Linked DNA regions of Oryzias latipes. The protein of the gene in region 1 interacts with the protein of each later gene in a pairwise test. Links are inferred from orthologs where the notes say so. Each region holds a gene or a part of one and is shown in the gene's direction. Other genes may lie near its edges. The genes, in order: efhc1, kctd4 and tex11.

Region 1 (10,871 bases):
CTGACCTGTAATCCAGTAACACCACCATATGTCTCGTCTTGAATTTGCAAAATTTTGTGACACTGAGCTGATGCAAACTCTTGTGGGCAGACTTTGTTTACATCAAACAAATGCAAACTGCTTGTGAGGTCACTTTATTTGCTGTGGGCGGAGTCTTAGTCTGCTTTAGGTTTGCACACACCTATATTCCTCTATGCATTCTCTGTGCATGCTTCATCTTGCTCAGGTCTGCTGGAGCCCTGAGCAGGTTGACGGTCTTGATTTTGCCACTTTGAATCTCCCAGATATCTGTTTATGTCTAAAACAAAGCATGTTTTATCATTAACATAAGCTTATTAAATCAAAAATATGAAATTATTCGGAAAATTATACAAAAAATTGAAGTGTACAGTAGTCCGGGGCTTTTTTGAGCATATTTATTACTTTACAGTTTATGATTTCCCTTTAAAACAGTTTTTCGTGGCAATCCTTGACCTCCATCTTTTTAGTACAACCCCAGCTTCTTTTTAGTTGATATTTTTTATAACAATACACAATAAATCCACAAAGAACCCAAAACTGTATGAAAAACTTTATTTTCAAATAGTACATTTTGTCATTTTTGTAAAATAAGAATGAAAAAAAAAATACTTTATGTTATACAATCAAGGTCAAATGTCTAAAGGCAAATAAAATTGTAAAAGAATAAAATAAAGACAGTCAAAACAATGTGAAAAATGCCTTAAATTAAAAATGAAAAACAGGCAAACTAAACAACATACAGTGTTTCAAGGATTTATTACAAGGGGTATTACAATTGTGTGTCCTGTATGTTTTAAGGCCAAAATTTCAAAGCGGAAACATTTATTTAAACGTACACGTTACATTTTGATTGATAATAGGGCGCCGGTGTCATTCCTGTGTGTTTTGTGATTACCAAACTCACAATGTTGCATTTTAAGGTTTCTGAATGACTTTGTCTGTTCTGCTGTAAATATAATATATATAAGGTAAATATAAGGTTCTCTTTATAACAAAGCTTTTATTCTATTCTGATTTTCTCTGTTTAGATTAAAATTAAAAAAATAATAATTTATTGTAATTCTTTTTAAGTTAAATTGTTTGTAAAACTTAGTAGCTGTTTCTTTACAGATGTACTGTATTAGGGCTATTTTTATGCATTAAAGAGATTAAGGATGAAAATCAGCTGATCGACTCCACACAGCAGCTTTCCCAGGTGGAAACGTTTACCTGCTCAGTGAGCAATTCTTGTCTAAACTACATTTATCAGATTAGAGGAGGCTGACACACCTTAGAGACTGTGTAATTAGAGGTCACTTGTGTGTGTGTGGTAGCTCACCAAAGCTTGCCTGCCTTCATTTACCAAAAATTAAAGGTATAGCAGCCAAAATCCTAGAAGATTTTTTTTCCCATGGGACTCTTTGTCCCTTAATGACCTGAGTCAGACAACGGATGATGAGTTGCTTTTTAGGTCATACATTTTTTTCAGTATTCAACAGAACTAAGATGACTCAGGTTTCTGACAGACATTATAGTGCAATCTTGTTTTCCTGTAAATTACCTCAATCGTTTTTTTGTTTTTGTTTTTTGTTTTCCACCTCACAGCCTCTTTCTGCCTTTTTAAACCTGAAGCTTTCCGGACAGACTGTAGTTTGTTTTGTGTCATTAAACCGCACTTTTCTGACCTTGCAACCATTCTTAACAGAGAAAAACAAATTTGAAGAGACAGAAAAGGGGAAGCCGCAAGAAAAAGAAGGAGAGGATCCAGAGCAGTCACCAGAAATGAACCCCATCGCCAACTCCACCTCTGGAGCCAACATGGCGCTCTTCAGCAACGCACTTGCAGCCTACAATTACATATCAGGTAGGACGTCTTGTAACATCAAAAATGCTTATTGCTTTAAATCCAGCGGTTCAAGGACAATGGAATACGTCCCAATGCCTGAAACATGTGCACACCAATTTTTTGGTATAGATAAAATCCCTCATTTCCCCTATTTTAATTTGCCAGGACTGAAAGGTGGCCAAATGTGGGCTAGAGGAATGTGGATTTAAAAGAGATAGCGGCTGAGTAGACCATAGAGCTCCAAGCAGCTGCTGGAAGAAATTATCTTTCACACATAAAATACTACCTTATGCACAGTTTTTGAACAATCTATAAGTTGAAGTGGTTATTTATATTTTACTTTTTTTTTTTTTTAAACTGTGTTGTTTTTTAGGACACAGTTTCTGCAGGGATTCATTTGAAATTCACCGTGACTGTTGGGGCAGATCAAGCCCACCCTCCATTCCCATCACCCATAACTGAGCAATTTGTTGACACACTCTCCCGGTGGCTTACAGCCCCTCACGCCCCCAGCCTAACATTTGCGGGGCAACAAAAATATTGAAACAATATAGGAGCAATCCAGCCGAACAGTTTTGAGCCAGAGACCAACTTGGACAAGGAGAACGTTGTCAGAACGGAGTGGCCTGCCCACCATATTGTCTACACAATCTTTTTTAAACTGCATTTTTTTTTTCATCTGCTCCACAATTTGAAAAAAGAAGTACTCTGAAATACAAGTTTGCAAGTTTTTGTTGAAAACTTTTGGCAAGTTTTGATCAAGTTTGTTATTATTGAAGGGTTTGAATGAAAGAATTGACTGAGCCGGTTTTCCAGCATGGTTGACTGAGATTGCGAATATAGAAGATGCTGCCGCTGAGTTAAATGTAAACAGCCAGTAAGAGCCAAACCACTGGGATAATGTTGGAATCTTGCTCAAGGCAAGCAAGGCTGCTGGAGCGGAGAGAATCTGGAAGAGTGGATGTAAAGGGGAAAAATGTGCACTTATAGGAAATTAAGCAATCAATACAAAATGAAGGCTATGCTGCAGAAATACCAAACCAGCAAAGCGAGCCAAATAATTAAATATAGATGGTCAAATAGGTTTAAAAAAAATTGAAGATGCAACATCTTTCTTTCTTTTTTGTCTTTCATGAAAAAATCTAATAAATAAAACTTTTCCCTCCATCATTTGTGTCCTTCCACTCTCCCCTGCACTAGACCACCCAGAGAGGGCTGCCTTGTTCTTCGTCTGTGGCGTGTGTTTGGGCCTCTTCCTCACTCTCTTCGCCCTGGTGGTCCAGATCTCCTGTCGCACCGACTGCCAGCCGCGTGAGCGGCCTCCTGCCAAGAAACGTGCGCGTCCCGCCGACTTATCCTCAGATTCCAGTGATTCGGACTCAGACTGGGACACCACCTCGGACCTCTCGGCAAGGAGACACAGACGCTTTGAGCGCACGCTAAACATGAACGTGTTCACGTCAGCCGAAGAGCTGGAGAGAGCTCAGCGGCTGGAGGAAAGAGAGCGAATCATCCGGGAAATCTGGATGAACGGCCAACCGGACATCCCGGGGACACGGAGCCTCAATCGGTATTACTGAGTAATACCTGGAGACTTTTAATGGGAACCTGACTTTAACTGAAATGTTGTACAGAAGGGGAAAGAGACAAACCCAGACTGAGATTCAAAAGCAACAGTTTGACAGTTTTTAGTTGGAAAAATGTTCCCCTCTCTCTGCTGTTTTCAAAGTCCATTTGGGTATCATAAGCTATACCCCCAAAAGTCAAACAATAAGCTTCAACTCTGCATTGTAAGCTTGCCTCTTGGCTCCCGGAAGAAAGAAGTGAAAGACTACACTGACTTACCGGTGACCTCGGCGGGCTTTTGAACTGAGGATTTATGGGTTAATGAACATACACAAGCCTGCAGAGACTACACGGTGACTGAAGGACCAAGGCCTCACAAAGGTCTGTTTTACAGCACACAGGGCAGCTGGAAGAGACTGTGACACTCTGAGCTTCACGCTCACTACCCTCCAGTATTGAAATGTGAACTTTAACAGAGGGGCATTTTTTTTTACCAAAGTGCGCTCGACAATAAGACAGTGTAAGACAATCTTTTCACAGTAGATGTTGCCTTGAGCTCTATAAAAACCAAAAGATGAACACCTTATGCAATATATTTTATTATATTTAATGTTTCATTGATGTTGTGTATTTTTCTTCTCAAGTAAGGTTTTATTATGAGATATTTTTATACTTTGCAAAGGTTGTCTGGCGCCTCAGGGATGCAATCCTAGTGTTTCTGTGTTTGGCTCTTCCTTAGAAAAAGGGGGAGTTGACTGAAATCACATTGTCAGCATTTATAGACAAGAATAGGAGATATAATGTAAAGCACCTCAAAGAGGTTCCCTTTTTATAGTTTAATCCTATTTTTGATAAAGTAATTCAAAGCGGAGAGGCTTTTCTACCCTTTAAGTCGAGTTTATGATTACAACAGTCTTTTTTGATCAACTATAGGACATTTATTTATTAATTGGAATCTCAAATGTATGTAATCTATTTGTGTTCCCTTTAAAGTACTGTCTCTATGCTGATGTGGAGCTTGTGTCAAAACCAGAATGCTTCTGTCGAGTTTAGCACCTGCTATCTACTCTGGCATAAATGTAAATTAATAGAGAACTGCCTGTTTTTACTATAAAAATGCATTTTCAGGTCATCACTTTTCAAGCAATGTCTAAAAGTGGCCTTTATTTAATATGCAGGACGTTGCTTGTGTTTGTCACTGCCATCTGAAGGAAACAACACTACAAAAACGGTAAAACGGCACCAAAATCATGCTATTTGCTGGAGAGATGTGTACATTCTTTTCCAATTTCAAGCAGATATTTTAACACATTAATATTATTTTCCTTATAGAGATTATTCAAATAACCACCTCACCAGAGATGTCTAAAAGGTTTAGTTTGAATATAATGTGTCAGTGATTTTTACCACATGACCAAAATGGATTATGCGCTTGAAATAAACTTCAAAAGGAAAATGTGTTCCAGTGAAAGAAATGAAAAGAGAGTTTGTGTCTTTAATTTCCAAGGTGTAAATGTGAAAAAACAAAAACTGTCTGGACTTTTTAGCTTCGCTCGCCCCCTGGTGGTGCTATTAGGAACTTGACGTTAGTAGTTTAACAAATTAAATAATTTTTTTTTTTTACCGTATTTCCAGATAAAAAATAAACATTTATGAATATGTAATTTACATATTACACAAAAGAAAGATATACAATCTGTAAAGATGAGATGTATTAATTGCTTTCCAAAAGATGCTTGCAAAGTTACGTTTTTTTTGTCAAACTTTATTTAAAACAAACTGCTGCTACGTCACAAGTGCTAACACTAGACGTCGTTACCATAGATACCGTCAAAGCTTCAGTCGCGCGTCCTTCCCTGTAGTTTAACGCCCCAACAAACTGTTTATTTGCGTCGTTAAAAACGACGATTGTGAACTTTTTCTTTCCTGACTAGAGAGTTACGAAGAAATCCCGACCAGAAATGTCTTCTCCGTGGAATAACTATGGTTTGCCATTCCTGCCCGGATATTCATTCCCGGATTACACAGTAAGAGCCGTCATGGTGGATTTAAAAAGGATATAAATTTCCAAAAAAAAAAATTCTCATTTAAAATAGTTTTTTTTTTTTCTTGAAAAGTATCAATAGATCACTAAAAATGTGATTTGCAGATTTGCTTATGTTGGGAAAGAAGTATCTCTATTTTACTAACCGTCATGTTTTCAATTGTTTTTTTTTTATCCTTCTCAATAAATTATTGGGTTACTTGAATTAATTACTTGAATCAAATTAAACTTAACAAGGAAAAGTATATGTATTTATAAGAAAGGATATGAGGCAAGAATGTCAAGGGTTCAGTACTGTTCAGATTCCATCCTTCAGCATTTCTAAGACCCTTCCTCAAAGTGACAAGGTCAAGCAGCAGACATTGAGGAAAAACAAGAGACTGGCAGAGGGCAAAAACAACTCCCCAAAGACCTGGATGGCCGACTACTTATTCAAATGTCACTCAGCAACAGCAGGGAGGCATCAAGAGAGCTATAAAAATAATGGAAATGGTTGCTGGAGCGAGGAGAATTACTCAAAGGCGGCTATTAGGAGCAGTGTTTGAAGCAGATTGGAAAACTGGTGGAGAAGCCGAGATGCATTAAAGCTTGGATTATCAAAGGTTAAATTCATCCAATGTTTTTGTGAACATTTGTTTAATTATTTTTGTTGTGTTTTTAAAGTTAAATAAGCCTATTTCTTTCTAATTAAGGTATGAAAACTCTGCACATTCTAGTTATTTCTGCCAATTGTTATTTTATGTACACAAATGTTTAAATAGAGGAAAAAAGAAGCTTTTCAATTTAACAGAAATAATGTCAGCAGTTTATAAAACAAAACAATATTTTGTAAGTATAAAAAAATCCCTAGAAACCTAATATTTTCAATAGTTTTCTGTTTTTATTTTTATTCAGAGCTTGCATTTATTTCTCTTCAACTTGTTGTTTCATGATTTGCGGTCGCAGAAATCCGCCTTTCATCGACCCCAGACTCTGGACTACAAGAATGGCTATCCTCTGGCTCAGCGCCTCTCCATGGGGATCGGCCAGGAACTTCATTTGTCCGAACAGCTCAGCACAACAGCCCAGCATCTCAGTGATCTTTCCTTTGGGATGCCAGGAGAAGATCCGTATGGCGCTTCTGACCGGAAAGTCTATGAGCCTTTTAAGCCAGTTTATGTGGCTCTGGACAAGAAGGTGTGAACTCAAATTGATAAAAGCATTAATTATTTCCAAATAATTCCCCACATGGTCTATCACCGGCCTGCTTTTTTTTAAGGTGCTGTGCTTCAAGGCATTCTTTAAAGAGGAATTCTTGAATTCCTCTGAAGAATACCGTGTGTGTCCAGTGGTCATCTATTATCACCTGGAGGACGACACTATGACCATTGTGGAGCCCAAAGAGGAAAACTCCGGGTTCGAACACGGAAAGAGGCTCAAACGGCAGAAAATACCAAAGAATGACCACGGAGAGTATTACCTGTGGAAAGACCTCAACATTGGTATGGATCTGAAGGTGTATGGCTTCACATACCACATCACACAGTGTGATGACTTTACAAAGGTACACTACTCTTCTGATTAAGACTTCTTCTCCTTTTGTGTGTCCAGCCATTTTCATTTGTAGATTTCTGTTTCTTTTCCTGCTTGCTTTTCTTCTCTCATTCACACAGGAGTTTATGGAAAGTGAAGGGATCATTTTGAACGAACCAGAGCCAACACCGGAAGATCCTTATATCAAAAAACGCAAAGGCTCACCACAGCCTCACACTCAGCCTTCCACAACTGACAAGCTGCACCAGTTTCTCACCATGGATGGAAAGGTAGAGAATATCCATATTATCTGCTCAGATGTTGCATTGCAATAACAATGACACTTAGAATAACTATAAATAACTTAAAAATGTACTTTTACCCAGTAAGAAAGGAGAAACACTGTTCCATATAATTAGTATTTTTGTTTTCATATTCTTACATTTTCTAGTAGAAAAAAACAGATTTTTAAAAATGTATACTCTCCACATACACTCTCAGTTTAAAGTTAGAAATAAAAACTATTAACCACCAGTCCTGTTCTCGTCTTGTTGTCTATTTTAGGTGCTCAGTTTCTCTGCTCTGGGGGAGGATGTGAACCGTCAGTACACTTTGCCGGTTACCATCCACTATTTCCTCGTTGACGATACTGTGGAGATCAGAGAGGTGGTCTACAAAGGCAGAAGACAGAACCATTTCCCTGTTGTGATGCGCAGAGTGAAAATACCCAAAAAAATGAAATCAGGTAAAGACGTTTTTCCACCATTATATTTCAATCGCCTCACAGAAATGCTCAAACTGATTATAAATGGAACCCGTCACTTGGACAGGACTTCTGTAGTTGTGTTCTTGTTGCAGAAACGTTCCCCACCTGTGTGATGGAGATCTCTCACCTAGATGTAGATGAGTACTACTCCCCCAAAGACTTTCAGCTAGGCCAAACGGTTACACTACTCGCCCGTTCCTTCTTGCTGTGCGACTGTGACGACTTCACCAAAAAGTATTACAAGGAGAACCACCCAGACATGGAAATGAAACCCTTGGAGGTGCCAGAAAAGGTGGACACACCTCAAAAAGAGAAGGTAAGGTTTCAAATATGTACCAACTGCATTAATTATGTACATTTTTATAGGATTTACGATTTTACTATTACTTTATTCACAAACTCCAGTTAAAAATGGCTGCTCCACAGAAGAATCCTCCCAAAGTGGAAAAGAACCTCGAGAATCTCAACAAAGTATTACGCTACAAAGCCAAGCTGGTAAGAAAAATATACGAATTTGTTACTGTTAACTACTAAATTGTTGTTACAATACATCTAATGTACCATTTCTGTTGAAGTCAAATATTCATTACGTTGTTTATTTTTTAGGTGTCTCCATATCCAGAAGACAAAGATCGTTCTTTCATCTTAATGTACTCTCTCTTCAATCAAACAATCAGCATCTTTGAAAAGGGCACGTCCAGTTTTGACTCTGGGTTCTTACTGAGGAACAGACATGTTCCCAAGCCAGGTTCAAGCCAGGAAAACCCAGACTTATACTCACCTGCAGACTTTGCTATTGGAGCCACGGTAGAGGGTATTCATCTCCTTATGGAACATATTCAGTGTCGTATCATTTCATCCAATGTCAAAGTAAAAGTAGTCATTTCTTTTCTTTTTGTCTGTAGTTTTTAGTCACCGCTTCATCCTGACAGATGCTGACCTCTATGTGCTCAAATACCTGGAGTCCATCTCAGACCAGGTCCCATCTCAAACACTGGATTCTCTGCGACAGAAGTTAAGCACTCAATCTAATAATGGTCAGCCCCAGCATTTTAACTGTCAGTAACAGCTTTTTATGGAAGCATTTCTGTCTCATAAAAGCCAATACCATTTCATTTTTGAAAAAGAATTTCTGGTATTGACTTTTATTTTTAATTATGAGAAAGAATTGCTTCCATAGATTTTGACCAGCAGTCAATTTATTTCAGTTTATTTGTAAAAGGAGATTTTTCACTCTCTTTTTCATTCCTCTTCCTTCAGGTGAAGAAGTAAAATCATCTCATGTTTCTCAAGTTTTCTGATCCAAAGACCAGATGTGCTAGGAATTTTGCAAAATGTCTCTAATAAACGAATTGCATCTAAACACTGATATATCTATTCCTTATATTTAGAAATAACTTTTTCCAGAAATTGCATTACTGACCAAAGAACAAGAGCAAAGAAAAAGACCTCAGCTGGTTCAAATACAATTTGAAATCATGTTTGAACAATTGCATTATTTAATAAAGTAATTAATAAACAAATCGGAACAAAAACAAAAATCAGAAATGGAATGGCATGCAGTGTTATCCAACATACTTAATGGAAAGTGATAAGTGACACATGTACAGTTTTACCAGATAGTTCATATCATACCAAAAATTAAAAAATTAAAATAAAAAAATCAGTAACACTTTTCTGCTCCTGTGGACTAAAAAACAGAACACAAAGGCTCAACAGTCCGAGCTGCAACGCTACAGTACTTCAGTTTGAGGATGAACACGCTTATTTAACTATTTTATCACTGCATACAACTGTCTGCTTTATGATGGGATTGCAAGCTGCAAGTATGTTTTACAAATACAAAATACTGATACAATGAGAAGGATAAATGTCTGTTGGGATCAAAGGATTTTCCTTGGATTTCATTTTCCAACATCTGCGACATAGTCCTTGGAACATCGCAGGACATTTTCAGCCAGAAGCTCGACGACCAGCAGCCATCAGCTTCCCTCGGGTGCTGATCGAGAACCTTAGCCACCACTAAGGCAGCTTTTCACGCCAGTCAGAGGATCTTAAAGAGATTTGAGTTTCTTTGTCCGGGGAGAGACTCCATTCTCCGCTTTAAGAACTCCGTTTTCATGGTTACCAACTAACCAAGAGACAAAAAGGAAAAGTCAAAATGCATTTTTAACAAAGCAAGAAGCAGAGTGAGGAAAACAAATGACCAAATAATGTCAGCTCCTTGCTAAATATGGGTGTCCGAACTTACGCGAGTCTCTCTTTAGGGGCCGCAGGGGTTGTTTTGTGGCAGCCTTCTTGCGAACAGCCTGCTCGTGTCGGAGTTCCCTCCAACGCCTTAGCTGGAAGCGGATAAACTTCCACAGCAGCCAGGATTGAGTCAAACACACCAGCAGCAGGACAATCATTCTGAGGGGGGACACCATAAGTGTCACAGTGAGAATTGGAAAGTAGGCCTGACATCATGCCCCAAACGAATGAAATTGCTTTCGATGTCTGGTGTTAGAAGAACAGTCTAACCTGTTAAACTGTTTATGCTACTCTGACTGCTGGCTGTAAGAAGACCAATAAAAAATACATACTTTGAGTTCTGAGAAATTATAGATGTGAAGTGTCAAGTCCAGTTTTATTGCATTGAGGAGCATTTACTGTGACAGCTATCTTTAACTGCAAAAATGGAGTCCAAAGTCATTCCTGTATGTTTACTTAAAAAAAAAAATACTATGCATAAGTCTGAGAGCTACAGAGACTGGGTTTAAAATGAATCCTTATCCACAGACATTGGACTCTTATGCTTTTGGCTGCTGAACCACCAGATTGGGCTTTACCTTATCAGCACAGTGTTGAAGTTGCCCATCTCCAAGTCCAGCCCCTGATTCTCAGCTCGAGCCAAACCAAATCCCACAGAGAGGAACATCAGGGTCAGCGTGGTCATCCGTGTGAACACAAAGCTAACTGCCCACAGGTCAAACCTGCCCAGAACGACACGCCATTCCATCAAAGCAAGGCCTCAAAGTGGGAGACAGACTCGACAAAAAGCCACTAAAATTCAGTAAAGGCATGCAAGCAACTTACATTTTCTGGTGGTTCTCATCAGTAAAGTAGAGGAGTCTGGCGATGTGGAAGCCCAGCTCTGA
Region 2 (10,871 bases), on another chromosome or scaffold:
AATTAGGATTTGTGTATGCATATTCTTGCTTTGTGCGTGCGTAGATTTGTGCATAAATTTGGATTTGTGTGTGATTTGTTACTTGCGCACAAATCAAGAATTACGCACGCACAAATCCGACTGAGTCTAATTTCTCTCCATAAGTAGATTTTTTACGAGGGTTTCCAAAACCAGATTTCAAAAATAAAAGCTTTAGTGCTATTTTTTTTAAACTTTTGATCTGTATGTAATACGTTTTCTTTTTTTTTTACGTGGTTGCTAAAAAGGTAAAGTTCTCTGGACTGGTAAGAAAAAAGGAGTGCACACAGACACACAACTTGTGTATGACTCCAATTATAGCTATTTCTTTTATCCAATCACTCATTCTAAGGCAGGGGTGTCAAACTCATTTTGGTTCGGGGGCTGCATTCAACCCGTCTGATCCCAAGTGGGCCGGACCAGTGACATAAAAGAAAAAAATGTTTTTTTTTACTGAGTTGGAAAAAAAGCCTCAGCCAACATGGTAGCCTAATCATTTATTATTACAGATTCATTTACAGAGGCCAATGGATGTAAAATAAAATGCATTTCACTTAAAAAATTGGTTTAATTAATTTTTATTCAGACTGAATATTTTACATCTGACACTGAATCAATCCTTATCATAAACTCTTTATGGTGAGTCTCATAGTGGTACTGAATGTTGTATTCTTTGAGCACCTGTTGATGACATACATGCAGGTTTTGCTTTCAACTCTGTAAACAAATAAAACTTTGTCCATTTTTCCTGGAAAACTCAGGACTTCAACCCTTTTTTTCTTTTTGACAACATTTTGGTCATTAGGGTGTCACTACTGATCATTCTTATAACAATGTAACAGCAGTGGGCTTGCGGGGAACCAAAATAAATCTTATTCAGACACAGTCCCCCTAGTGGCGGAATTGCGCATGGACTAGAAACGTGCTTGTTTTTTTTTTTTAAACATTCTTATTTTTACTCTTTATGAATGGGCCGGATTTAACCATCTGGCGGGCCGGATACGGCCCGTGGGCCGTATGTTTGACACCCTTGTTCTAAGGTGTAAAAAGGCAGATTTTATGAGCTTCTGAAGGTTTTTTTCACGACTGTTGTTTGTAAAAGATGTAAACCATAAACACTGATGATGCAGCTAAAGTTTCCAGTGATGCACCACTTTGTAAACTAACTGCATCTATATAAAGCAAACAGCAGCGATGTAAATATGGCCTGTGTATGGACACTAATGGCTTCTGACAGGAATTACAAAAACATATGTAATGACGGCATTTTTGCATCTCTGCGCATTAGGAGAAATAGGCCCATAGATAGTAAAGCATCCTCATTTTGTGGTCATTACAAGCCTTCTTAGGATATTTTCTCATTCGGCATAATGCAGGGAATTATTAACATTAGTTTATATTTTGCTACAGCAGTATGTCAATAGCGGGTCATAATGACAAGGAAGAATTCTGTATGGGGCTGAAGGAAGGCCAAGATTGGATCTCCAAATATAAATTTCCATTAAAGCTGACGTCGTTCGGGCCCAGAGGCTGCTTCATTAAGGAAATGTAATGATTCCATTCGTTATATTCCGACCTTTGCGACTCATCCACCCGCTCGTTTTGATCTAATGTGGATAAACTGCATCCAGATGCAACGGGAGGCGGCTTTCATGTCCTACCAGCAGGTGGGCAGTTTAATTTCTTACAGGCGGGGGGGCCTGTGAGAAATCTAGTCTTTTTATTCGTACATTTACAGTTAATAACAGAACATGTATTTTTATTGTAATTTTCAATAAAAACGTGCCTCATATCCTGGGGCGTCAGGTACTTTATTCCAGCACTAAATTCTTTAGGATCCATAGATAGGGTTTTTTAGATCTCAACATATTGGTTTCTGGTGGCTGGACAAACACCTCAGACTCTGCCATGTTTGTGATTTTTCCTAAGATGTTTTCCATTTTGCTGCTGTCCTGCAGGAGAAAGTTGCCACTTTATAGGAGAGATACTGCAGTGTCTGTGTGCCAGGATGCAAGAATTTCTCAGTGGTTTATTGCACAGCAACAGGACAGATGTTGTTTCTTGTTAGGGCAGCTTTAGTTCTGGAGGGAAAACCGCAGTCTGTCAGTTTCTGGCTCCAGTGGTCGACATGTTGAAACCTCCTGGGGTGAGGCATTGAATGCCACACTGTCCTTAAAATGTATTTTTTAAACAATATATGAAATGAACGATATCTAATATACATTACAGAGTGAATATTTTATTACTATAGTTTATTAAAATGTTTTAAATGCTAATAAAATGGTGACATTCTCTTTTTCTTTTGAGCATTAACTCTAGTTTCACAGATGCTAAACCTCCACACACTGACTCTCATGGTAAATGAAGGCACAGATTGACAGCTCTGAGCTCTTAGAAGACCCTATTTTAAGTTGTTGCCATGCCAGCTTCATAGCAGTCAGTGACTCCATGTAAAAGCGCAGCTCTAAGAGCAGCACCATGAATTATTCACTGCCTTTAACAGCGAGGGCGAGTCCTCCCTAACAGCATTTTCAGAAACGCTGAAATGCCCAAAATCTGTCACTTCGATAAAGAGATTCAACAGATTCTAACAGACTTTCAATGGTTTCCTTCAATGAGACGGTTTTAATGAACAGGAGGCAGAAAACAGGTCAAATCCTCCCACAATCCTCTCTGCTGCCTCTCGCCCTCGTTTGCAATTCCAATTGAGCGTCGGTAAGAACAATTCAGCTAATTACCTATGATTTTTTTCTATTTCTTTTTAAATCACAGCAGAACACAGAGATGTCCCTCTTGTATCTTCTCCATGACCAACACACACACAGACACACAGATACAAAGAAAGGCAGAGTGTGAGTCACCTGCATCAATGTACACAGCAGCTGCACATTGTATCTAAGTGCTTCATTTTAAATGACTGTGCAGTCACCGCCTTCGGGGTGAATCTGCAACAGTTGTGAGGGTAAGTGGCTGATCACCTGTTGCATCAGTCTAAACCACCTGTTACTCACTTTGGAGTTTAACATAAATTCTCATCGATTTATTTTCATGCACAATGCCACCTAAAACAAAAAAGCAGGAGTGTGTAGCCTCAACTTTCAGATGAGAAGAATCATCTTTCATTTAGTATCAAAACAAACAAAAAGTTAAAAAGTATATTCAACTTTCCTACTTTATGCCAATTAACAGCTTTGTGGCCAACCCTTATTGTTTAAAGTCCCACTTCAACTGTATTTTGGTCTATTGTCAAATAATGATTGTACCATTTTTAGCCACAAAAAAAAAAGACTTGTCGTTTTCTAGGACGTTTCTGCATAGTGGCAGGAGTTCATTAGAAATTCGCCTTTAAATTGTGTGTAGGACTTGGTCCAGAGTAAGCCTGCCCCCATTTCCCATCATCCCTTTGTTTACATTCTCTCCCACTAGCTTACAGCCCCTTACAACCCCAACCTGACATTAAAGCATTAAAATAAAACAAAAATGGCGAGTAATATTGGAGGTATCCAGCCGTAACGTTTGGAGCTACAATAAATGTCAGCTCTGGATGCATCAGAATGGAGCAGAGCAGGGAGCTTGTGGCCCGCCGACTGTAACTTCTAGGTCACTGCTACAAGCTTTTTCAAATTGTATTTTTTCCTTCTGCTCCTGATTCAAAACGATTTTAATAATACTCAGAAATGGGATTTCAAGCTTAATGTTCTTTATACATGTCCATCATCAGAAAAACGCCATAAGAACATGTTAAAAAAAACATTATTTTCATTGGAGCACGTCTTTAATTTATGGTATCCATTTTTGGCAATAATGCTGCTAAGATTATTTACTATTACTTTTAAAAAAAAGTCATTGTCATTATTTAAGAGACAAAATGTCTCATTCCAAATAGTTTTTGAACCTAATTAGCTGTGGATTTACAAAGGTCTTTCTATCTAGCTTCTATTTAAAAGCTGCATCTGCAAATGGATCAACAGCAGTCATTAGTTTTCTTCTTCATTCCTGCAGCAGCCGGATACTCCTGAGTGTTCAGCCTGCCCTCAGGCAAAGTACAGGAACCGAGGACATGAGCATCCTGACAAAGCGGACTCGCACAGCATCTGGTAGCCTGCACTGACAAATGCGGCAGGTATTCATTGTCTGATTTGTGCACAATTGATGATAAATTATGCAAACTGATAGGCGATGTGTCCCTTGAGTGAAACCCCAACTAAAGTAGGTTACAAAGCAACTGCACTGAAATACTTCTGCTTTTGGGGTCAAAACCAAATCAGACCAGCTGTATATGGAATTTCATGCACATTCTTCTTTATTTACCTTTCTAAGTGCAGCTAAACTAACATTTAACCACATGTTTCATAAGAAGAAGGTGCGGAGAAACAAGAGATTATTTTTTCTTTTGATCACTTAAAATTGTTTCTTAAAGCTGAGTTTAGCTTTCTTTCGGTTCAATGTCAAAATTAGTAGTGATTTGTCTCTTTGGTTAATGTGTTTAAGTTATGTTTGTTATTTGTAGATTCCCACCTTGTAGGTCCGATGAGCCAGTTTAAAACCCCCTTAGTGTATCCTGCTGGATGAGTCAGTTTTAGTTTGTTTGAGGAATTTGTTTGTGATTTCCTTAGTGACATTTGGTTAAGTTGACCCCATTTTATTTTGGGGCCATTCATAAGTTGGTAATAGTTATGTTGGAAAATAAAAAACTTTTTTTTAACATCTTTTCTCCTGTGGCTCACAATCTCTAAATGGTTTATCAAAGCTATTTTCGATCATTTTCCAAATGATAAAACCAAATAGAAAAAAGGAAATCTGGCCAACAAGACTCACGTGATAACAGGTAAAAACTGAGGGCGTAACAATTAATGAATCAATACATTCCTACGAACCAACCAGATCAATCTGTCTGAGCCAAGTTGTTAATTGACTTGACCTATACCATTATAAAACATTTTCAAAATGAAATAAATTGCTTATATCAATATTAGGAAATACCATTTGGATTGAGGTACAGTATATTTACTAGAGCGTAAAAACGACCAAGTGCTTCACACGTGATGGCAGCAGAAAATGATCAAGCCATCATTACAGTGCAATGTATGGAGACACTTTGACTTTAGCAGAGACTTGTACAATGTGGTAAAATGTTCTAACAACGTCCCCTTTGGATTATTTGGATCTGGAAAAATAACAGTGGGTTGAACTTAATGAAGCTAAAATGTTAAACAGAGATTCTTGTTAACTTGTTTGTTTGTACACAAATCTAATTTACTTTTTATTATCTTTGGCTAAAGATGTCCAGGATGAATTTTAAGTCAGTGATCAAATCGTTCAAAATGAACCAAAATCCACGATGAAATGTATCAGCAACCACAAATTATTATGTTAATCAAATCTTTGTTAAAGTGAATCATTCCACCCATAGTACAAACATTGACAGGAAGGTAGAAAGGTTAAAACACTACGTTACAGCTGATTGAGTCATCAGACCAGCACATACATGTAAATACACATAAATGCTGGGCCCTCATGTTTCCTCATGTTTAACATGAAGTGTGATGATTTCTTTGCACTAGGAGAGACAGCCGTGTGAAGCACACTCACAGCGTGAATGCTGTGTCCTTTCATTTTTTTTTGTGTGTGTGTAAATGGCCAGTCTTTTGCAGTTCCCAAACAGCGGGACACCTTTTCAAAACATTGCCAAAAGAAAGAAAATCTGCCCCTAATGGCCAAACTGTAATCGACTGCAGTTGATTCTTTTTTCCTCAACCTTAAATTATTGCAATCAATCAATGTGTCCACTCACCAGGGCAGAGACCACTGCTGGCTATCTTCAGAGAAACCCCAACAGGATATTTACATGAATTTAATCATTTAATTTGCATTAGCAGGGCTCCATCAGATTAACAACAAGCGAAAAAGACAAACCTCGCCTCAACAAACCATCACTCTTCTCAGACAGTCAGAAGTAATGATGGGAGGTAAATCAGACGTGTGTGTGCAAATAGAGTTTTGAATTCATGCTCACAAGTCTGACTATTTTCCTGTGCAAAGATTATAAAAGCCCAACCACCCCCTAACTTCCATCTGGTGAGAGGATGGTTTAGGTGCGGGTTTGACACCTTTTTTTTTTTGCCAAAGATAATTAAGGACTGAGAGAAAAAGAGTCCTCACTATTCTGTTGTTTGCTCACATACTCCCTTTTCCTCCTCCCTGAAATGTGACGCTGTCTGCACACCCACTCTTAAAGAGAGACACAGAGAGAGGGAGAGTGGAGAGGAGGGACACGGATCGGCACACAGAGCCAGCTTGCAGCTCCTACTTCACTGTAGCTGCTCTGCCAGACAACACTCAGCCATCCACATCACACTCTCTCAAACACATTTGCTCTCTCAGCCGACAACACCCTCTCAATTTCTCAGCTGCATCAAACGTCCAAACGACAAGGTGAAAACAAACCCCACGCACAGACACCAGCTCTGAGGAGGAGGCTGGACTGAAGCTGGAGGGGCTGACTGGAGAATGGAATGGAACCTCAGAAGGATGGAGAGTGAACTGAGGCACATCAATCCGGACCTGCTGCAGCCCAGCAAAAGCTTCAAGAAGCCCTCTTCCGGCACCATCACCCTCAATGTAGGGGGGTTTCTTTACACCGCCCATCGGACCACCCTTTCCAAGCACCTCGGGTCCTTTCTGGAGGAGGTGGCCAATGGTAAAAAGCCGGTTCAACACACAGATTCTATGGGCAATCCCTTCATTGACAGAGATGGTCCTGTTTTTCGCCACGTGCTCAACTACCTCCGGACCGGTGAGCTCCAGCTGCCTGATGACTTCCGTGAGGCAGGGCTGCTGCGCAGAGAGGCCGACTTCTACCGCCTGAGCCAGCTGGTGGAGGCCGTGGTCGAGTGGGAAAATCAACGAGCAGCCCAGCGAGAACCCGCGTTTTTGGAGGTGACAGACAGCCACGAGAGGTCGCAGGGCCTCAAGGTGTACTGCAGCGACGCCACCTTCATTGAGAAGGTTAAGGGACGGCTGGTGCAGATCTCCAAGAGCCGCTTGGACGGCTTCCCAGAAGAATTTGTGGTGTCATCAAATGTGATCCAGTTTCGCCACTTCATCAAGTCTGAGCCGGGCTCACGGCTCGTGCTGAAGGAGGACAGCACGTTCGTGTGCACTCTAGACTGTCTGAAACTAGAAACAGTGATGCTAGCACTTAAATCGGGGTTCAAGTTGGTCACCAGCCTCGACAGCAGTAAAGGCTCTGTGGTGGCAGCGGAGGCCCTGCACTTTGTCAAGTAAGATGAAGAGAAATGCAGGAATCAGAGAGAAGGCAGAAGGGAAAGTACTGCCATATTTCATATTCACTCCACTAATGTCAGGTATTGGTTTGAGTCTTGTAAAATGTGTATTATGTGAATTAGTAGATAAAATAAAAGGTGAGCTGGACTGTTTAGGACAGACTTTACTAATGAAGCTTTGGGCGGTTGTTTTTAGCAGAACCATGTTTTGGCATTTGCCGAATTTGCACTGCTCTGTATTATTGTATTGTAGAATCCAGAAAGATCCTGATAGCACAAAAGCCCCGGTGACATGGACGACAAGCCACAAACCAATCTTCACGCGGAAAATACTGCACTTCAAGTTCCATCAATACATGTGTGCTTTTGTCAGTGGCTGCAAAAACGGAAAAAACAGCCCCTTCATAAAAAGCCTGTGATGTGCACTGTTGTGCCATTCAGCTTTTACTACAGCCTGTGTGTGTGCGCGTGTGTGTGCCTCGCCGTACACGGTGTGTGTGAGTGTTTCTGTTTTATTAGCTTGAGTTTTTTAGTTCGATTTGAAAAGCAGAGCTCACTGAAGGCAGGCTTAGGCCAACACACAAACGTTTAATTAACTGTTAAAGTTTAGGAGCAAAGAGCTGTGATTATTGCAAGGGCTTAGAATCTTGCATGATGCATGTGCACAGAAATCCTTTTTAAAAAGTGTGTTTTGTAAGTGCCGTGAGCCTCTGTGAAGCCAGTACCACAAAAATGCCTATTTCTTTAAATGTGAATATTTTACAAATAAAATGGATTTAAACAAGCAGTTTGTAGTTTCTTTGAAATCCTGGGTTTATTATATAAAACAAGTATTAATTTGTTTGCATGCGGAGGTCATTTATTGCAAAACTAATTATTCAGGGAATGTAGAAAATTATAATCTGTAATTGTTTACTCCAATTATAATAATCTACCTCCTGTGAAATGGACATGAGCAATATTACAATACCTCACATGGTAAACTTTGTTTTCACAGAATATGAAGCCTAAAATACACTACACATGACAAACATGACTCATTTTCCATCTAAAATAGTTTGACTTTTAGTTAATGTTTTATCAGAAGTATAAAGTAAAGATTGAAGAGACCCTAAACTTGATGAAATTATGTTTGTGTTGTGTTATTAGAGCATCTGTTGATGTCATTCTGTCCTGAGGACAGCACTTTGATCTGCAAAAGCAGAAATGTCCTGCTTTCAAAAGGCTTTCTTCCTCTGCTGAAAGTTCCTAAAGCTCTCACACTGTAGCACTGATATATAGGGATGCAGAAATAGCATTAAAAATATATTTGCATAAATAAAATTAATATCTCTTTAAAAAATGTGCAATATTTTTAACTCTGCAAACACTTACTAAAAGTCATTAAACGAGAAATCACCATAAAAGATGACACTTCTAACAAAAATATGGATTTAAGTACTAAAATGTACTTATCAGTAAATCTTACACCTCTTATCCTAAATATGATCTTAGGATAATCAGAGAGAATGTTTTCACTGCAGTGTCTTTACAAAAGCATCAGAGTAGTGGCGTCATATGAACATGGTCATTGTTCCATTCTTTTGAAAGTGAGGATCCTGTAAGTGCTGTCAAGATGTTTGAAATGACCACATTTACATGTTCAAGCTAAAAGACGGGTTCAAACACTGTGTGGGCACAGTTACATCAGCTATAAACCAGATACTAATGTGTTCGGTGAGTGTGCTTTGGTTAAAAAAAAAGAAAAGAAACTGAACATCAATAAAAGCCTTTTAAATGCCAACTGAAAGTAGTGAGATTACATAGGAGAACTATTTCTATTTCCCCCTTTGCCAAGAAGCCACACACATTGCTACAATAATCACCAGAATGATCCTGGAAATCAAGACACTTTAATTTTTTTGTTCTATTGAATCCAAAACAGAACTGTTAGTATTTCATCCCTTCATGTAAAATAATAAAGAAGCAGCTTACAGGCTTTTACATTTTTAAACTGGGTATTTTTTTTAGATAAATTGTGTATTTTAGATAAATATAGGCTCCAAAAATGATAAATTAGCCAAGTTGAGAGAACTCTCACAGGAGTTCAACAAGAGTGTCACAATGAAGATTTTCCCAAATACCAACAATAAATAAATAAAAGCTTGTTTTTATCATTAGAAACTATGCTTTGAGATTGACTGCAGTCTTTTTCATTGTTTGTGTCCATCAGAAGACGGGCATTAATTGCTCTAAAATCTGGCTTCAGTGATAGACTAAATTGAGCTAAATAAATTGCATTTTGAACTGATTTACAATCTAAAAACTAAAATGATCAAAGATTTTTTTGTTTGTGTTCTATTTGAATGCAATACTTCCACACTTTAAGCCACTGTGAAATTTCCTTCGGTCCATTGCAGCTTGACCAGTCATACATAAAATAGAAAACAGGCTGCCACGTATTATAACTTCAGCCATTAAATGATTAAGCTCCGTAACTACTGCTAGACCCCCCCCCCCCCCCATCAGATCGTTTGTTATTTAACTTTTAAAAGAACAACAAATTATGGTTATAAATACCCCCATTATTCCTTTTCATTATCACTCATTATTAGAGTGCCTTTAAAACAAATTATAAAATAAAAGAAGCAACAGAACAGAAAGATCCACAAAGGTCAGGTTACATGAAGTCATCCTAATGTTTAAGTAAACTACATATTTGTAAAGCTAATGTAGTTCCCCGACTTAAGTCGAGATGTCAAATAAGATTTTTTAGGGGGGCATTCAGGTGGTTGGACCAAAGATGATAAATATGATCCACTTGAACAGTAGAATGCTATAATGTAAAGGTCTGACTATGAATAAGAAGCTCTTTTACTCATCGATGATGCCTGTGCCAAACGCAAAACAAGCCCAGCCTGGCTTGAACCCAAACAATGTGAAGCCGGCATGCGTCATGATTCATTTATGGAAGCTTGTGGGAGTGGAAATCTTTAAATTTAATTATCCTGGACATTGGACAGCATTAACCCCATCTTCTTACTGCAAAGGGAGATCCTTTTGTCATCAAAGTTCAGGCTTCTTTTTTGCTGCCTGAACGAACTTTTAATTGCAGAGCATTCGTCTGTAGGGAGCCGCTATCAGCTGGCTTGAAATGAACACCGTCACTCTTTTTACCGCTTACTGTGATTCCCCCGCCTGAGACCAAAAGCATCTGCTCTGGCAGACAATGTCGCAAAATCAACCAACCCTCCCTCAGGTTGAAAAAGCCAGCTTTCAAGCCTGACAGCAGGAGAACAAAATGCACTGTAAACATGAAAAAGGCTCCAAACAGTCCAGATAATGTGACCCTTCAGGATGGGGTTCCCTCTGTGGAGCGCAACGCAAGCTCTGGCATTTTGCTGTAACATTCAGCCCGCTCTTAAATGCAGATCAGTTCCATGCATTTTTTATGATGGTGGCAGGTTGACTGTATGTTTTAAGGGATCGGTCTGAAGTAAAAGTGATGAAAGTGTAATGGAGGCAGCATGAGACGCACAGCAGCGCAGATAAGATAAGCATTATCAGCTGGAGGAAAAACACAACCAC
Region 3 (10,871 bases), on another chromosome or scaffold:
GGGTTGTAGGAAAAATCGATCTGTCAATATGTTGCGACATTTCATTTGATGATACTTTTATTGATTTAAAATCATGCCAAGATAATATTTATTTAATTTTTTATGAGCATCATTCAACGTCTAACTTTTTTCTCCACTCAAACCCCCGACCTCTAGTTGGCAGCATAGCACACTGATCCTCTCAGAGTAGCTCTACACCGCACCGAAACAACAAGATCTCGCGAGAATCAGCTTGTGTTAACCCTTGTGCTATCCTCTGACCCCACCCTTACATTGACGTGTTCTCCTTAACATGACAAAGGTGGATAAAGGTGGAGAGGATTTCATGTAATCCATGGACACCAGTGAAGATCACAAATCGTTGAAGAAAAAAGGTTCAGTGCACTGTCCAGTGGGTCTAGATGACCCAACTCCCAATGTTAAAGTGCCTAGGATAGCTCAAGGGTTACATGTTAAATGTTCAGTCAGCCTTGCAGTCTCTGTTGTTATGAGACATGTACTACTTAATTTTTGCTTGGGATGGGTTCCGAACCGGAACTAACATGTGCCATGTTGCTGCCGGTATCATGTAAAAACATGGTTTGTGGTGATTTGTGGTGGGCTCTAGATGAAAACGAGTGACACTTGATATGTATCGCGATACATATCGTATTGTGAGACACGTATCGTGATATGCATCGTATCGCCATACTCTTCCCAATACACACCCCTACTAAAAAGCATGCATGCAAAAATATTAACATTAGTAAGTATTTCACATTTGCATGAAACACATTCTAAATATAAGATGTATAATATTAGAGGGTCTAAAAAAATGGTTGAACACTATATGCCTTTTATATTGATCACCATTAAAAACCATGAATATTCTTTTAAACTTCTGATAATTTTATGAAACCCTGTCACAATGGTGTAAAAATATTGATGGTTGTGTTTTGAGTCCTGACATGACAATATATGCCTTAAATTTAATTTACTTTTTATTTATTTATCCCACAATGGGGAAATTGAATTGGAAATAAAGTCCCACTCCGAACATCTTTTGATCTATTGTAAAAGCGTTCCCAGGGGTCTTTCAAGTATGATTATGCTGTTTTTAGCCAAAACAAAAAAACTGTTGTTTTCAAAAACATAGTTTCAGTAAAACGGCAGCTCATCAGAAATTTGCCTCTGATTTGTGGGCGGGACTGTTGGCACAGAGCAAGGCCCCCACTTCCTATCGCCCATCTGTTTACGTACCCTCCCGCTAGCATATAGCTCACACCCCCAACCTAACATTACCAGTGCAACAAAAATGGCACGGAATATTGGAGCTATCCAGCCGTACAGTTTTGATTCAGATACCAGCTCACACGCGGAAAAAAAAGACATTAATTTAAATTTTATTTATTCAGCATATTAACCACAGGGCACGCCCATTTATGTTCAAAGTTAGCATATTTATATAGTAAAACATACAATAAAACACATTCAAGTTCTTGTTACTTAAGAAGACAAAAAATGTATATTAGACACAAGAAAAGTCCACCAACATCACATATTTCATTGTATTTAAATTAAGGGATCTTTTTGTCTGCAAATAGATGCATCAGAATGGAGTGGAGCAGGGAGCTTGTTGCCCTCTGATTGTAACTAAGTGACAACTATGAGCTTTTTACAATTACACTTTTTTCGTTTGCTCCTGATTCACAATGATTAAAACAAAGAAATACTCAGAAATGCAGTTTTAAGTTTATTTTCTTTATGTATGTCTTACATCTTGAAAGAAATGCCACAAGAACATGTTAAAAACACCAAAAACAGGTATTTCATCAAAGTGAGTCTTTAAGGTTCTGCTTTTTTGTTTCCTTGTGGATTATTTCATGCTTTATGTTCAATGCTATGTTCTGTTTTTAACTAATTTCACAAAAATCCAGTTTTGTGTTTTAAAAACCCATGTCGGTTCACTTTTTCAGCTTCTATTTCATCACAAAGACGTCCTCCAGTTCTGCCAGGGGAACCCCAAGGTGCTCCCAGGCCAGCCGAGAGACACAGTCTTCAACTCGGTGGGACACGCTCTGAATACCTAGAGAGGCGCCCAGGAGGCAAATGAGTTAACTGAGCCATCTCAACTAGTTTCTCTCAGTGTGGAAGGGAAGTGACTCTACCCCAAGCTCCACACAAGTGACCAAACTCCTCACTTTATCTCCAAAGGAACATCAAGTAAGAAAACTATTTTTAGCTGCTAGTTTTCGAGACGTTTTGCCTTTCGGTCCTGACCTCTGTGTCACATCAGTTTTCAATAACATTCCTTTTCAGTTTTAGTTAATTGAACCTCAGTGTGTTTAAGACCATATTTCTATTTTCTTCCTGCAAGACTTTTTTGTCCTTTTTAAGGCATTAAAAGGTGGATCAGCCAGTGTGCTTCAGATTAAAGTCAAACAGATGGAGAACATTTCTCTTCAGGATTTGTTGGTAGACACTGGAAGCTGTGGTTCCACAGCAAGTCTTCCTGGTTCACCACTGTAACATGTTTGTTTTCTCACGTGCTGTGTTACTTTTACACCAAATGTTGTAGACAAATGTATTTTTTAGAAAAGATTGACTTTAATCTAATCAGTCCTTAGATTATTTACTCAAAGATAGCAGGGTCTTTTGACATCTCTTGAATAAGTTACTGCACTCTTGTGGTAATTTGTTCAACAGGCCACTCTGGAGATGGATCACAACTGTTCTTGTGTTTTCCTTGTTTGAGGAGATTTGCTCTCAATAAAGTGTCAAAGCTTCAGAAATGGCTTAATCATCAATGTTTTTGAGCAAGTGGTCCCAAAGACTGTTTTAATTTTTTCCTGAGTATCTCTGGATTGCAACACAACGGCAAACGTTTGAACCTTCAGTTCATGCTGGTCTTAAACATTATTTTCTTGATTATTTTTTTTGTGTATGGGTGTGTTTGTGTATGAGTTTTTGTCTTTGAGTGGAAAGAAAAAACTATCAAAATAAAAGCCCTTCCATGTTATTTCTTACATTGTATTTATTTTGTTATTTATTTACATTAAACGCTAATTTAAGAATACTTATATATAAAAAATTAATCATCTAGCCAGAATATAAGAAAGCAAATATTACCTACACTATGATGGCTACTTTTTTCTACCTTGTATATCTTACCTGATATTTGCTTTCTTGTAACATAGATTTTATTTATCAATTGAACTAGCACATAACATCAAAAAAGAAAAATAGTAATAATAACATATCCTTTTTTAAACCCTTTTAACATATAGCCTAGTAGTCAATAGGCCTAAATCAGGAGTCTGAATCTGAGGCTCCAAATCCAAATGTGGCTCTTTGTCCCTACATTATGGCTTTTTGGCTTTGAAAAAATTCTAATAATTTGCGTAAATAATGGTTTTGTCGTAGTCAGGATTATTTTGAGTTAATTACGTTTTGTCATTTATTTTTAGATTTTTAAAATGTCAGGTAACTGAGCATCATGACAGTAAAAGGTTTAATCTATTGTGTGTGGTTAAAGAGAAGAAACGCCTAGGAAGTGCATGGAGGAACATTTGTAGAAGTTTATATTTACATTATATAGATTTGTTTTGCCTGGTTTAATATTTGAGAGTAAAAGGAAAAAAAATGAAGGCCCACCAAAATCATAATAATAGAAAATGTTATATTGGATTTATCTTTCTATCTTTTTAAATTTAAGTAAATCTCCTGTAGCAAAGGATCCTATTTGACACAGGGTGTGTTTTATTTTGAAAGGATCTTGTCAAAAGTAAATAAAGTTACAATTAATAAATGCAGAAAAACATAACACTGTTATAGTTAAATTACTGTAAATATTTGAAAACTACATAAATAAATTCTATTTTCTAATTGATAAAGTGAGCTTTTGCGGCTCTAAATGGATTTTGGTCCGCATTTACAGTCAATGGTCACAGAAACTTGCCCAAAAGGCTCTTTTAATGTTAAAGTTTGTCCGCAGACAGGAAGTAGCATTAACTGACCTCACATAGTACGAACTCCGTGGCGTCAACGTCCGCCTCGTTTTCGCGGGCATTTTCGGGCGATTGTAAATTCTCCTTTGGTGAGACATCTCCTCCAGACAATCCCGCTTATGGAAGCTTTCGAAATGGAAGAATTTATTTCGACTGTGAAATGTGAGTATAAGTCGGTTCAACTACATTACACGGCTAATTACAGATACAAACCATAAATAATTGTAACTGCGTCATCAGCAGGGGTAGGGGGTAATCAATGAGTTATATCGCGATATAACTGGGGCTAACCTAGCTAAACCATCTGCTAGGCCATGTACTATTTTGTCAAGCTAGTTTAATGAAATGAATTAAGCACATAAATCCTACCTTAGCTTTAGCCTTTGTCCGAGTGAAAAAAATGTTTGCTTTATTTTTTAAACAAATTAATTATATTTTTTCTTTCTTTAAAACTACCTTAAAAAAACATGCAGACTGCCATAAATAATATTATATAAATGTTGGGTTTATTCAGAGAAAAATCTATACAGAAATCATGAGAGCAATTTTAAAGTTAACGAAGAGAATCTTGAAGCTGTTTTTATGACAGACAGACATGCTTGGTTTTATTTTTGTTGTGGAACAATGGCTGGCAAGACTTTTAGGGTATAAATAAAGTTTATTATTTTGAATTGGTTAACAAAATTATCATTTTACTCTTTAAAACGGGAGCATTATGCCTCAGGGGGCTGGAGGGTCTGTTTCTGTTACCCACACATTTATGCATATATATGTGTGTGTATATAATATATATATATATATATATATATATATATTATTTTTTTTTGCTCAATCCTGGATAAATACGATAAAGAACATTTGGCAGAAATCAATATTTTGGAAATTGTTAAGAAAAAAGGGCAAGTAATTTTTTTCACTGTCCAGCTTGATTTGAAAAAAACAAAAATAGAACAAACTAAAAACAAATGTCTCTAGTTATTAAAAAAAGTGTGATTTGAGGCTTTGCAGCAACAAAAATAACTTAGAAGTGTACATAACAGTTACCATTATGCTTTGACTGTGAACTTCACTCACAGAATTCTTTTTAACACCCACTTTTAAAAGTGTGGAGGGTGTAATTTGCATCAGCTTCATATACAACAACTTGCCGCCTCACAGATCTTAAAAGCATAAGAGAACAAGCATATGCCAGAACCCTTTTCTGCTATGGCAAACTAGAAGTTACTGTCAAGGGGAGCAGTTATTGGATGTGTCACATATATTTATTGAACATCTTTTACTCTTAGTGTGTCTATTCATTTCAAACGTTCTGCTTTTTCACAGGTCTCACAGAAAACTTACAGCAGAAAGATCTAACAGATTGCGATGAGGTTATAGAGAAGCTTTTCTCTGAAGTCTCAGGCTTAGATTCCTTTCTCAAAATACCAGATCCTCAGGTAATTTATCAATCGTTTTAGATTGTACTATTTTTAATATAGTCTATAGTCCTGGACAGATATGTACAGAAGAGGATTAGGGCCATGGAGAAAGAAAAAAAAAAAGGGCATAGAAAATTCTGACTTTAATCTCAGAATTCTGACTTTATATGTTCATGTGGAGCTAAACATTTTTTCCCCCTATCCCAACATATCTTGAACCTGCAACTTCGAAATTATTTTATAGCTTAACTACTTTTTAGTAGTTTTAGTAGTAAAACTGAATGCTTAAGTCTAATAATATAAGTTATTGGCATGTTTTTAGTGTCTTGTTTTACTGGTACAGATTCAGGAGTGTGCCGTCCAGTTGTGGAACTGGGCTGTTACCAAGAATGTGGGAAACGCCATAACTGCAATCCAAAAAGCTAAAGGTATTCTTCCAATTGCAGTCTGTATAGTTTTTAAATGTTTACCTTTCTTGATTTTCTAAAACACAAACCTAATTATGGGGATTACAGGCAAGGTTAATGCCTCATTTAATATTTTTTATCATCATCAGTTCGCCATGTTGCATGCAACCTGCTGTACTGCTTTGAGTCTGACAGTCCAACAGAGGGCGCCTTTCGAAAACAAATCTTGGTAAGTAATTCTGGAGGTTTTCCTTTTTATAGCCTGGCATTTCAGGAGGATAAGGCCTGTGTGTTGATATCTTATCCTTCCAGATGGCCAGCAAAGCAGGGAGAGCCTGGCTGAACTGCAAAAACTTTCAGATGGCAGATCACTTTCTGAGACTTGCCGTCAAGGTGAGAAAGAAACGTTGGATAAAATCTGGAAATGTTTTTAGCTGAAAGGAGAAGGATGGAATTATTTTATTCTTTTACAAATGATCCAACATGGTATATTCCTAGAGCTTGGAAACCCTTTACCGCCAGCTAACGTCCAGAGCCAATGACGAACCTGACATCTTGTCATCCAAGGCAGATGTGGAGAAGGACCTTCTTCGGATCCTGTCGTGCCAGGCTGAGTCGGTGAGCAGTGCTGCATGTGATGTTCAACACCTTAAATGTGAATATTTGTTCTTGTGATATTTTGCAGCTTGGGAGGTGCTGTTCTGACAGACTTGCAGTGTGAAGTGTAAGACAGTAAAATTGTGACTGAGAAACAATGAAGGGGGGGTTCTGAAATAGCTAATTGAGAGAAGTTCATTTCCCTTCATTTAATACACAATCTGATCTTTGTTACAGGCTATCGCTCAAGGGAACAACCAAGAAGCCATAGTGTTCATCGAGCGATGCAAAGACATACTGCTGCGGCTGCCAAATGAAGTAAAACACAGCTACCTTACTGTTCTCTTACATTCAAAGCACATGTTGTTGAAAGTGAGGGGGGTGTTAAGTGTGAGCTTTCATCACAGACGGCGTACCTCTCAGTTGTCTGTTACAACTTTGGAATCGAGGCATACAATCTGACAAAGTTTGAAGACAGTGCATTTTGGCTGAGGTAGTAGATTTATTAATGTGGTTTGATAAAAAGTAATAAAATAAAAAAATCCAGGGTAAAAATGCATCTCTTCCTCCTTGTTTGTTTTTGTAGCCAAAGCTATGACATTGGAAAAGCAAACATGAAATATGGTCCAGGATCAGAAGCTCTGGTAAGACCCCGTAAGACAGAATGAATAGAGTTAGCAGCAGGAATGCTAATCTTTGAGAACAAGTCATTAAAAAGAAAAAGAAAATATTTACAATGTCACTCATAAACAGGCCAAAGTTTTGCGGCTGCTCGCCACGTGTTATTTAGAGTGGGACTGTGAGAAGTTTCAGGAAAAGGCTCTAAATACTGTCAGCTTAGCAAACAAGGTGGGACGTGAGGCAATATTACGTCAAATATTTATTGTAAAAGGATGAAGAGTGATTATTCCTATGGTGGTGTTTGGCAGGAGTGTGTGACCCCGTTTGGACTTTACTTAAAGATCAGAATTCTCCTCAGATGCAGAGCCCCAGACAGCCCTGTCAGAGCAGGTCAGTCATAATCTGACTGCCGTCAGTGATGTGCTACAAAAATAAACACAAATAGAAATAGAATAGAAAGAAATAATGAGTCTGATATTGGTGGTCACAAAGCTTGTACCACTTAGATTGGATGCTTCCTAGTGTGTCATTTGAATCTTTGAGTGACAGACAGATAAGGTTGCATCACAAACCTGTGTTTTCAGGTCTTAATGAGATGCTGGAATCTAAAGTTTCTCTTGACATGTGTCTGAACACAGTGAGACTGCTCATGTCTGAAAACAGGTGAGGAAGTTAAAAACAAAACAGAAAACTGATTGCAGATTTAACTTTATTTGCTTGTTTGAAATAATAATGCATCCTAAACGGATGAGGACATTTATTCTGCACCTCTGAAAATGCATCTTTTGTGATTATTCTAGAGAAGTGCTGGCATTTGAGTATTTGAAAACTGTGTGTCAGCACTTCGAGTCATCTCCTAGTCTGGGAACTGCTCTTGTCTTGCACATTGAGCTGCTGCTGCAAAGAGGCAAGGTGCTGCTGAGCAGACAGAAGATAGAGGATGTCATTACCGGTACTTCACTTCTACCCTTAACGTTTCTTACAGCTTTTTTTAGAGTAGTAATCCATGAAATGTTTGTTTTTTTGATGATTTTCCTTTCTGATCAGGACACTATACCGGTAAACAGCTGGCACCAGAGGCACTCACAAGTCTGCACATCATACTGTGGGATCAGGCATCCAAACACTACGAGGTTCATCAGTAGCCTGGTTTTCCCTCTATCATTTTGACTGTTACTGACTTTAGAAGTCAATTTATTTAATCTTTTTGATTTTTACAGGATGACAATTATTCTGAAGCTCTCCAGTGGTATGACTACTCTCTTAGCTTCTTTAAGGCGGGTCAGATGGACCAGAACTTATCCAAACTGCAGAGGAACAGAGCATCTTGCTTTCTAAAACTGAAGCAGTTGGAAAAGGTGAGACTGTCTGGACAGAAGGAAAAATCTGTGATCAAACCTCTCTCCCGAAGACTCCAGTAGGTGTTGCTTGTCCAAATTCAAATGAACCTTTTCCCTCCATAGCTATTAGTGCAGGTGGCACCGTGGTGCAGTGGTTAGCGCTTTCGCCTCACAGCAATTAGGCCCTGGTTCAAATTCCAACTAGGACCTTTCTGTGTGGAGCTTGCATGCTTTCCCCATGCATGTATGGATTTTCTCCAGACCCTCCAGCTTCCTCCCTCAGGTTAATTGTGCATCACAACTGTGTGGCCCTGCAACAGAACAACAGGATGTACTCCGTCCTCATCCAACAGTAGCCAGGACAGGCTCCAGCATCACCATGACCTCAAAAGACATGAGGATAGATCGCAGGCCAGCAAAGACAAATAACCCAAAAAATAAATATGTATTTCTAAAAAATCCATCAGCCAATCAAAAACTAAGAAGTACGGGACTTGATTGACATGCAGAACGGCCAATCGGACATCCTACGAAATATACGTCACTGCACATGCGTGTTTAAATTAACTGAGCGCAAATTCTGTCTGCCTCATTACCCGCGGCACGTCAACTCCCCTGCAGAAGACCACTCCGGACAACTGGAGTGTTCATTGAAGCCCGGGCCACCCTGTGTCCTCCTGCTATCGGCTCCTCAGTTCCCGCCCGATAAATACGAGCTCAGTAAGGAAGCAGTGTTTTCCGTGGCACGCGCTTCGTACAGAGCCAGCAGCGCCTTTGCAATGCCATGCTCTCCGCATTACATAGTTTACAACAGAGAATGACGTACGATAGTCGCTGCTTTGTGTTTTTGTAATAAAACGCCTCATCTGTTAATACAAAAATTTTTCTGTGTAATCTTAGTGTGGTGTTTTTTATTATCAGTCCATAAACAACAATGTACAAATAAACATGTAACTAACAAACATGTACTAATAGTATATATAGATATAGATAGATCTTCAAGACATTTTTGACTCAAAAGTGGCTGACATGCCAAAAAAGTGAGCACCCTGCTGTAGATTTTGTGTAACCCTTGTGCTATCTTAGATGACCCCCCCCTTACTTTGACGTGTTCTCCCTACCATGACAAAGGTGGATAAAGGTGGAAAGATTTCATGTAATCCATGGACACCAGTGAAGATCACAAATCATTGAAGAAAAAAGGTTCAGAGCACTGTCTAGTGGGTCTAGATGACCCCACTCCCAATGTTAAAGTGCCTAGGATAGCACAAGGGTTACATTGAAGTCAAAAAAATGGCACACAAACCAAAGTGTAGATAAATTATCCTTTGTTTATTTGAAGCAAAGCACTGGAAGAATGTCATCTATATCCTCCAGTAGTGAACAAAGAAAACAAAAAGTTGTCCATTAGATCAAATCAAATTGAACAGTTTGACTTTCACACAGCTTAAATTATATTTGAGCACAAAATAAAACAGTGCCTAGGATAGCACAAGGGTTAAGCAAATAGTGTCATGCATTTTGTGGATTTGGAGATGGTTAACATTCTGAGCTCTCATTCTATTGAAAGGCATTATAGGACAAATATGGTCTGAAAGTCTGTTGAGCCTGTTGTCCATCTACAATCAGGATCACTTGACTGGTGTCAATGTCTTCATTGAAATTTGCTTTTTAGGCTAAAGAAGCAGCCAAAGAGGCAGAAAGAAGTGACCCTGACAGCATATTCACTCAATTCATTGTTTACAAGATAGCTGTGCAAGAGAGCAATGCAGAGAAAGGTACGCTCAGAACTGACTGATGCAATGCATGTCCTGCCGAGTTCTGGATTGATGCCAGCGTTGCAGTTTCACTGCTATTGCATTGTCAATGGGGTTTCTGTGTTTCTGTGTCTTCATCAGCTGCTGAAGCCTTGAGTGCGATGGCGTTGCTGTCCAAGAATCCAGTATTCAGTGAGGACAGACTGCTGGCATCCCAGACTGCAGCTTCTAACCTTCTCAGTTTGGCTGCTCAGATTGCTCTGGAGGTAGAACCCATCACCAAACATCGCTTTTAAAAATGAGCACATTTTCCACACTTGTAGTATTTTGATGATGATATGTTGCCTCATAAGTGCTACTTGCAGCTTGGTCACAGGGAAATTAACACAAATGCAAGTGTTGGCGAGTGGAAAGATGGTGAAACATCTTGTCTTTGTCACTTAGATCATGTTGCATTTCAAGGATAATCTCCTTTAAACCGTCAAAGGCTGAACAGAAACAGAACTGGATTGTTTTGTTTTCTTCTGCACACTTGTCAGAAAACATGGTTGCACATCTATCTGTTCTTCTGCTGCGTGCTTGTAAAGAACTTGTGTGTGGAAGAGAATGTTTGTTCCCTCTAGCAGAATGGACAGCAGGAAACTGCCATCAAAGCGCTGGAGGTTTTGTGTGAAAACTCCAAAGAGGAAGTTCAGGTTCTGATTGCTCTGAGGTTTGTGCCAACAGCAGTGCAACTTCTAAACAT

What was found.
Region 2: the proteins of efhc1 (region 1) and kctd4 interact in binary tests that used the Homo sapiens proteins (3 or more experiments, as listed by UniProt). The two-hybrid records come from large-scale screens. The link is inferred for Oryzias latipes from reciprocal best matches to the Homo sapiens genes EFHC1 and KCTD4.
Region 3: the proteins of efhc1 (region 1) and tex11 interact in binary tests that used the Homo sapiens proteins (3 or more experiments, as listed by UniProt). The two-hybrid records come from large-scale screens. The link is inferred for Oryzias latipes from reciprocal best matches to the Homo sapiens genes EFHC1 and TEX11.

Annotation. Positions count from the first base shown.
Region 1 is NC_019882.2:6,988,486-6,999,356, reverse strand, and holds efhc1 (EF-hand domain-containing protein 1), read left to right. Parts: upstream 1-5,207; 5' UTR 5,208-5,373; coding exon 5,374-5,439; intron 5,440-5,788; exon of another isoform or gene 5,789-6,058; intron 6,059-6,380; coding exon 6,381-6,632; intron 6,633-6,714; coding exon 6,715-6,999; intron 7,000-7,108; coding exon 7,109-7,258; intron 7,259-7,532; coding exon 7,533-7,713; intron 7,714-7,826; coding exon 7,827-8,050; intron 8,051-8,139; coding exon 8,140-8,229; intron 8,230-8,340; coding exon 8,341-8,541; coding exon of another isoform or gene 8,542-8,548; intron 8,549-8,614; coding exon 8,615-8,771; intron 8,772-8,994; coding exon 8,995-9,035; 3' UTR 9,036-9,097; downstream 9,098-10,871. Other genes in the region: protein eva-1 homolog C, read left to right, coding at 1,706-1,864, 3,047-3,426; translocating chain-associated membrane protein 2, read right to left, coding at 9,789-9,865, 9,986-10,143, 10,563-10,706, 10,810-10,871. UniProt on the Homo sapiens protein: Microtubule inner protein (MIP) part of the dynein-decorated doublet microtubules (DMTs) in cilia axoneme, which is required for motile cilia beating.
Region 2 is NC_019879.2:17,069,546-17,080,416, reverse strand, and holds kctd4 (BTB/POZ domain-containing protein KCTD4), read left to right. Parts: upstream 1-6,259; 5' UTR 6,260-6,528; coding exon 6,529-7,305; 3' UTR 7,306-8,091; downstream 8,092-10,871.
Region 3 is NC_019868.2:11,383,367-11,394,237, reverse strand, and holds the start of tex11 (testis-expressed protein 11), read left to right. Parts: upstream 1-3,987; 5' UTR 3,988-4,105; coding exon 4,106-4,148; intron 4,149-5,309; coding exon 5,310-5,422; intron 5,423-5,747; coding exon 5,748-5,832; intron 5,833-5,960; coding exon 5,961-6,040; intron 6,041-6,123; coding exon 6,124-6,204; intron 6,205-6,309; coding exon 6,310-6,429; intron 6,430-6,645; coding exon 6,646-6,726; intron 6,727-6,815; coding exon 6,816-6,901; intron 6,902-6,994; coding exon 6,995-7,052; intron 7,053-7,161; coding exon 7,162-7,257; intron 7,258-7,337; coding exon 7,338-7,419; intron 7,420-7,613; coding exon 7,614-7,692; intron 7,693-7,829; coding exon 7,830-7,981; intron 7,982-8,076; coding exon 8,077-8,162; intron 8,163-8,249; coding exon 8,250-8,387; intron 8,388-10,044; coding exon 10,045-10,147; intron 10,148-10,267; coding exon 10,268-10,392; intron 10,393-10,749; coding exon 10,750-10,838; intron 10,839-10,871. UniProt on the Homo sapiens protein: Regulator of crossing-over during meiosis. Involved in initiation and/or maintenance of chromosome synapsis and formation of crossovers.